Cricetulus griseus: one gene and its partner. The protein of the gene in region 2 interacts with the protein of the main gene of each other region in a biochemical or structural test. Links are inferred from orthologs where the notes say so. Each region holds a gene or a part of one and is shown on either strand. Other genes may lie near its edges.

The links. The genes of interacting proteins can lie anywhere in the genome.
Region 1: the proteins of Gnaz (region 2) and Rgs20 form a complex in vitro, tested with the Homo sapiens proteins (2 studies listed by BioGRID, with this or other methods). The link is inferred for Cricetulus griseus from reciprocal best matches to the Homo sapiens genes GNAZ and RGS20.

The regions. Positions count from the first base shown.
Region 1 is NC_048595.1:158,268,641-158,272,688, reverse strand, and holds the start of Rgs20 (regulator of G-protein signaling 20), read left to right. Parts: upstream 1-1,248; coding exon 1,249-1,408; coding exon of another isoform or gene 1,409-1,416; intron 1,417-4,048. UniProt on the Homo sapiens protein: Inhibits signal transduction by increasing the GTPase activity of G protein alpha subunits thereby driving them into their inactive GDP-bound form.
Region 2 is NW_023276806.1:263,551,303-263,555,338, forward strand, and holds the start of Gnaz (guanine nucleotide-binding protein G(z) subunit alpha), read right to left. Parts: upstream 2,801-4,036; coding exon 2,078-2,800; intron 1-2,077. UniProt on the Homo sapiens protein: Guanine nucleotide-binding proteins (G proteins) are involved as modulators or transducers in various transmembrane signaling systems.

The DNA.
Region 1 (4,048 bases), on a different chromosome or scaffold from region 2:
AGTTCTCGGAGCTTACAGATCCGAGGTTTTCCTGTTCCGAAAAAAAGGAAAGTTCTATTGTGTGTGTTACACAAAGAACATCAAAGACTTTTCATAATTTCTCATGGTGTCTATAAAATCCATTAATAAAAACAAAATGATGCCACCTACTCAAATTAACCTTTAGTGAACAGAGAGAAGAAAGTACTTGAATGCCAACAAGCTAACTGCTTATGTACATTTCACTATCAATAAAAGACTAAAAGGCACTATGGTCTGTAATCCCAAAAGACATGCGTCATGAACAAACACAAAACGCATGTATATTTGCTGGGCATTGGTGGCACATGCCTTTAATCCCAGCACTCTGGAGGCAGAGGAAGGTGGATCTCTGTGAGTTTGAGGCTACCCTGTTCCCCAGATCAAGTTCCAGGACAGCCATGGGCTCTGTAGCCATGGTTTTAATCAACTATAGGCTGAAAATGTTCCTGAAAATGTATGGCTTGGGGCTAGAGAGATGGCTTAATAGTTAAGAGTGTTTGCTGCTCTTCCAGAGGATGCAAGTGCAATGCCCAGCACACACATCCAATGGCTCACAACCACCAATACCTCCCACTCTGGGAGGATCAGATGTCTATGGCCACAATGGGTACAAACAGAGGTGCACACCCACATGCAAACAAACATACACACTCATAATTAAAAACAGTAAATTTAAAAAAAAAAAACTTTTTCTACTTTCTATACTTGAGCCACTTGCAGATGTATCCAAGTTTCACTTTATGGCATGTCTCTGTATTGAGGTTCCTCCCTGTACCAACACAATCACTGAGCAGCAGCAGCATTGATTTCATGGAGGCTTTAGTTTCAGAAAGGCACAAAGGCATGAGGCAAAAATCAGAAGAGTACCGTGAGCAGATGGGGGGCCTCCTCACAGGTCCCTTCAGATGGCATTTACAACACATTCCCTTGCCTTTTGTTCAGCCCAGTGGCTTATAAAGAAAACTTACTTACTCACCTATAGAGGGCAGTAGTGACATATGCACCCGGTGAGCAGTTCTACCTGGAATAAAAAGCTAAGATAAGTGGATAAGCCACTACTGATCCACAGGACGGATCAGCCTTTTGCTTTGCTTAGTGTAACTCTGCAGGAAGCAACCCAGCATATTCAGACATGGCCCAGCATTAGCAAACAGAAGAACAGAGGGGATCCACTAGTGTTGGTAAAACCAGATGACAAGATCCACATGCAGCATTTACTGGGAAAATATGCCCAGCCTTTCCCAAGAAAACCAAGAGTACCTCCAGGAGCATCTTCCCAGGCAGGCTACATGGGCACAGTTGCTGCCTCTGTTCAGAGCAGAGGAAGATTATAATCTCAGTATTCATCAAGTCACAGAAAATAAAGGGGACTCTCAGGCTGGGACTGGTGTCAAGGTAAGATGACCTTCACAATCCCCACCAATGTTGGCAGGGAAAAGGTTAATCCATAAAGAATATAAAACCAGCAGCCAGTTTCAGTATCGTTCTTCACAGTAGATTAGTGAAGATTTATCAAGACTATTTTTGAAACAATCTACAGGAAACCTAAAACTTGAAAATCATCTGGTGTCCAGTTTTCTCCATCCCAAACAGCTTTCCTTCGCCCTTGCTTTTTCGTTAAGTTTGTTCTGTTTAATGGTTTTGTGTGTTTATGCTTGAGACTGAAGCCATGGCCTCGGGCATGCCAAGCAGGGGCTCAACCACTGAGACACATAGCTGCAGCTTTGGCTGTTGGTTTGCTTTTAGGAAATAGTGTTTAAAAGCAGAAAGCCTATATTTAGCTTGTAAAGCTATTGCTATTAGCTCTTGCATATTTTTCTCTGACGTAAATACAATATGCCAGATAATTGTGAAAGAAAAATATAGGTTTCTTTCTAAAAACATTGCTACAGAATAATGATAAATTTCTATAGGGATCTGAATGCTAAAGAACTAAGAGTTGCTGTTTTTTAAATTCCTAAAGTGAATTTCCTGAAGTGTGAGTTTCTGCCATTTGGCCATTTTACTTTCTAGAGTGATAGTTCTCCTATTCAGTGTTGGATGTTTCTCTGCATAATGTACAGTGTAAGACTGCAAATCCTCTTAACTATTTATAGAGGTATCTCTTAAGGGTTACCCGTATGGAGAGGAATGGGCATGTGTCAATGTTGAAGAAATAATTGACAGAGCTCAGGAATAAATGGTACAAAACCAGGCCACAGAAAACCTGTCCAAATACGTGAGGTAGCACTGGAAAACTCAGTAGCTGTCTGTCAGTCATGGTTTATATCCTGATCATTATGTGTCAAGCTCTGCACTTAATTCTCTAGATCTTTCCCCTGATGTTATTTTAACTAGTTAGCACAAACAGAAGAAAGATGAAAAGAAAAGAAAAATAAATGTATTGTGAGCCTTTTTCTGTAGAAATAATTTTACTTTTCTGATGCAGGTGAGAGGTATAAATTTCTGCCACTCCTATCATCATCATCATCATCATCATTGTCAACTAAGCACAAGGGTTTATTTGACTAGCTGGTCATCATCTAACTAGAATATAGAGATAAGTCATGAAGTCAAATAGCAACTGAAGATGACAGATAAATAATACATAGAAAGACTTCCACCAGCATCAACTACAGACAACAGCAAATTAAAACCACAGTGGGACAAAAAAAAATACTATATACCTAGCAGAATGGCTAAAATGAAAAAACACAGCTATACAATATTAATAGACAAAAATCACAATTTTAAATGTGTGCTAATATCAGATGCCACCATCAATGACAAATAATTAGGTGCTGAAATAAATATGGCTTATGGAGTTTTATATAACTAATATTCTAAAATATGTAATTGCCAATATCAGTATGTCTCAGTATTCCCAAGTCTTTGGAACTTATTACAGATTTATTCTTTTTATTAGAGTGAAGATTAAAGTGTAGTCTCAAAACAAAAAAAAATTAGTAGACAAAAAAGAATGCCTGAAAAGCCACAAGGAATCAGACTATTAACTATTTACAAAAGCAAACAAAAATCTCACCAAAACCTATAATGCAGAGAATTCAGTGTATATCTGCATATATAGTTATAATAAAATTGTCTTATCTGGGATGATGGTACTCCCTCCAACAGCCAAAGACCATCTAACAAAAACCCCAATATTAGACATAAGAAGTCCTCTTTTAAGTTGTTGGCCAGAAATGTCTAAGAGACTCCCAAAACACACAGCTTATTGTTGTTGCCCTTGGTTGCCACTACCCCCCAGTGGAGGAAGGTAAGGCCCTATTTCTGAAGACACCATGCAATTCAGAAACAGGGACCAGAGACTCCTGAGCTGGAAGTGATCTGAATGCCCCCTCCCTAAGGACTACTTTTCATGGTACCAAAGGAGGGAACCAACAACAGTCCTACCCAGCTATGCCACCTATGAACCATATCAATAACTAGCATATCACAATAACCCTATAGGTGAAGTAATGATACACATACCTTGGTAGTAACCAACAACTCTATAATTGTACTTAAGACCCACTCGACAAGAAGGATACCATGCCTAGTACTGAAATCTAGCCAACTGCTCAGTGCAAGTGAAGTCATGGATGTTGGAGGAGAATCTACAACTACTAACTTACTAAACCAGCATAAACCCTAACAGCAATCTATAAACCTTTGTCCTTAAACACCCACAGGTAAGTGTAGTTTTCACTCGCCATCAGGGAAACTACTCTTTGCACTAGCTGGAGACTAGTTCAGAAAAGCACAACCAATCAAAGTGCAGAGTTGTGGATCCCAGTCCCAGTAATACAGCTACAATACACTCCTGCACCTAAGGCTCATGGAACATTGTGGAAGAAGGGGCAGAAAGATTGTAAGAGCCAGAAGACCAAGGAATTCATTGTGAGATTATGTCTCTTAGTAATATTAGAAGGTACATCCATAAAATCTCACCAACATCTGAGCTGAACAAGGTTGATACCAACTTACATGCTAAACTGGACAGAGAAAAGCCCATAATACTTCAACCCTAAGTAAAGAACTATAGGCA
Region 2 (4,036 bases):
ACAGAGAGGCATTGCAAGCAGAAGAAGCCACAGACAGCACAAGCAGAGAAGGGCGGCAATACAGTGGTGGGTAAAGGCCAGGCAGAGCCGGGAAAGCTTGGGGCTACTTTTTGATGACAGATTCTGAAGGAAGAGGTGGTCATGAAACTTGGGAACCAAGCATCCTGCCTATGGATCCAGGTACACTTATGGGCACAGTCTGTAAGAGATGGGATTGGGAGCTTGGTCCTGGGGGAATCTGCCAGGCTTCCACTGGAGATGGTAGATGAGGCCCATCAGATCCAGGCTCGAAAGGCCTGTTCGAGCAGTTTCTTGCCAGCAGGAGTGTAGGGAGACATTGTAGCCTTGCCTCCTAGGAGCTAGGTACAGGTGTGCTTGACTACGCCTGCCAGGGCGTGGTCAGGGGAGGTTCAGGATGACTCGTGGGGAGTTCTTAAGGGGGTGGCAGACACGTGGGAGTCCCTCTCTCTGGCCTCCCTAGCTTGCTGCCTCTGGGCACACTCTGGCTTGCGTTTGGCTGGTGCTTATCTGAATAAAGGTATCTTAACCTTACAGCTCGACATCAATCTCACAATACAGGAGTGTAGAGAATTATAGAGAGCCGTGATGGCCGGCCAACCTTCCAACATTCTGTTCCCACAACCAACCCCAGGCACTGTGCTTTGCGTTGACATCTGGGTCAACCCCAAACTCTGGCCTCAGGTCATGCCTCTCTCTGATAGGATGCCACTTCTAGTTAGAACCACACGTGTTGCTAGAGTGGGAACAGCCGACAAAGTTGGATGGGCAAGAACCCTGAAGATGGCTCACTCATAGACAGACACAGCCTGGGCACGAAGTAGACAACAGGTGGCAACAGGGCCACCTACATCTACAAGCTTATCACCTCACTCATTGGGAATAGTATCAATATCTGGCACAGATCCCAGGATACCCGGATGCTGGAGGGATGGTGAAGAGAGCCCTGCCTCCTGTCTTCATGGTTGCTGACCAGGCTACAGGCTCTCTCTATGTCCAGAATACTCAGACATCCAGAGATGTGGTCAGAGCCTTCAGCCTTCCACACATACCTTGGGGGGGGGCACAGGCCCAAAGTTAGAGTCCTTGGGGGAACTCAAAGAATAGTCATTGCTTGCCTCAACAAGACCAGATGAAGAAAGAAGCCCCATCCTTGTCATTGGCCCTAGAGACCAGTGCTCCAAAGTGGAAAGGCTGGATCCTTGTCTCCATAGCATGATGGAGGTGACATTTCCACAGGTTCCCCACTGGCATCAATACCTTCCTCTAGGTTACTACAGATCTAGGCATCCACAATCCTGCTCAGATTCTTAGAGGACTTTTGCTCTCCAGTTCCCGGGGCCTGAGCTGTAAAGGGAGGTCCTGGGTTTTTGTCTAGTGTTCCTGCCTGGTACAATAGGTATACTGAGGAAGACAGTCCAGAGCTACCATCCGTCTGACAAGCAGGCTTCCACTACTGCTATTCCTGGGGAGGGTGTCTGCAACTTGGGCATCTAACCTTCTGCCTCAGTTGGATCTGAGCACGTTGGTTACCAGTGACGCCCGTCCAGGCCTCAAAGCCTTCCATGTCCTCTGTGCAAGGCATGGGCACAATCTAGTCACTGAACCGAGACTAGGGTGACCTGGAAACCTGGACAGCGGAGCCAAGCACTACAAGGGAAGTTCCAAAGTTCCATCTCTAGCTTGGGGGAGGGCAGTCAGAGCCGATAAAGGTGGGGGCCCTGCCTGGTGTGAGCCCTGTGGAGCCTAGGGGTGTGGTGTTACTTGTTAAGTGTCATCTAAGTCAAAGTGATGTCCCTCAGACTGGAGGAGTCATGGGAAGCTGAGGTCTCATGGGGCACCGGCATGATCCTGTCCACTGGGGTTCACAACTTGACAGAAGTGCCCATTGAGGCCTTGTGGCATCAGTACACTCACCGTGCTCCACAGCACACTCCCCTGGGCACAGAACGTGGGGGCACGCTCGCCCTGAGGACCAGTTCTGACCGAAGCCTCTCTTTGCTCACACGAGTCCACCTGCTTCCCCGGAACCAACAGTAGGAACCTAGGCTCTACTCACCGTCTGGTTATCCTCATAGAGCTTCAGGTCATAGCCACTGAGCTCCACACAGAAGATGATGGCCGTGACGCCTTCAAAGCAGTGGATCCATTTTTTGCGCTCTGACCTCTGCCCGCCCACGTCCACCATCTTGAAGGTAAGCTCCTTGAAGGTGAACTTGTTTTCCACAATGCCCGTGGTCATGTCCCGGGAGCGTAGGATGTCCTCCACCGTGGGGATGTAGTCAGGTGCGGCGATGCGCTCCAGGTCATTCAGGTAGTAGGCTGCATTGTCCTCCAGGTGGTACTCACTCGAGCGGCCAAAGCAGGCCTGAGCCCCAGGGTCGGCCCACAGTCGTCTCATGACGCCCAGCAGCTCGGGTGTAATCTCACCCTTGCTCTCTGCTGGGCCCGTCAGCGCAAAGAGCTGCACGGCATCATAGGCGCGGTCCGGGTTGTGGAAATCGATCTTAAGGGCCGCGAGGGCCCGAATGATGCGGGTCAGCGAGTCGATGGCGTTGTAGATGATGAGGGGCTTGTACTCCTTGCAGGCATCCAGGTTAAAACCGCCACTGTGGATGATCTTCATCTGCTTGACGATGGTGCTCTTGCCCGAGTTGCTGGTGCCCAGCAGGAGAAGTTTGATCTCGCGGCGCTGCCGCTGGCTTTCTGAGCGCAGGTGGCGGTCAATTCTTCGGGACCGCCGTGCTGCCTCTTTCTCCTCTGAGCTTTGCCGACATCCCATGGTCCGGCAGCAGGAGGCCCACCCCCTCCCCGAAACAGAGCACAGGATGGGTGCCTCTCCCCCTTTTGCCAACAGACAGAACGGTCACCGTGAGGGATGCTGAGGTGTGGGCTGGCGTGACACAGGCAGCCGAGAGAAGACAGCTGACTGGGGCGTGCTCAGCACTGGCTTGGGGGCAAGGCCCAGGCAGCAGCGTCACACTGCAATCCCTGCCCTAGCACCTCTTCTCCTGTGGGCATGGTGCTCAGTGCAGTGGGGCAGAGACCACACCCTCCCCTCTAGTGACACTCCACCTCCCTTGTCAGCGGTGTGGCCTGATTTGCCGTAGTCATTCCCCGTAGTAGCTGTCCGCTTGCGTCTGCCTAGGCAGTGTCTGCCCAGGCCACTGCTGTCTGGTTGCTGGTTGCTGTGGCGATGCTTCTAAGCACGGCTGGAGGGCCCAGCGCTTCCCGAGGCCCCCCTGCCTCAGGCTGCTCCGGCTCCCTGCCTCGCATCCGGCCCTTCACCTAACGAGAAAGAGAACAGCATGAGCTACCTCCTGGGCCCACCTCAGGCTGGACGGGGAAAGGGATCAGCCACAGGGCCTCAGCAAACAGCAGAACAGTTTGTCAAACACTTCAGGGTCAGTGCCCAACCCACAGCAAAACAAATATGCGTGGCCAATGCCTTCCACTTGGCCGATCTGCTTGACGCCAGGTGCAGGATGGGCAGGAGGGAGCTGTGCAAAGCTCTTGTCTGCTGCCCCCATGCTGGATTCTCTTCTGCCACTCCTTCTTGCCTAGTGGACCTGGCTGACCTTGTGCCCTCTGAGTCTGTATGTCTGACTGGAGCTCGTCGGTATGACCCCCGCCGTGGGTGCCCACCACTCCAGGACATGGAGGGAACTCAGCCCCACTCTGCTTTACAGTGTAGTCCTGGCGGTGTCCCTGCCTGAAGGAAGCCAGGGAAAACTGGGTGTCTTCCCAACTTTCATCCCTTTGGACACAGGGCCATCTTTGTTGTAGGGCCAGATGCACAGAGTGTGTATAGTCTGTCAGGACAGAGCTCTGTCCCCTCCCCCCCCCCACTCCCCGCCCAGTCCCTTCCAGGGGGACTTAGCAGACGGGAGTACCATAGGGTCCTGAGTAAGCAATAGCGAGGCACAGGTTTCGAAGCATGGCCAAGGCCTGCAAATCAGGGTAATATGGTGATAATCTGTCTAGAGAGGCAGGAGGGGATGGGGGTATTCTCAGAAAA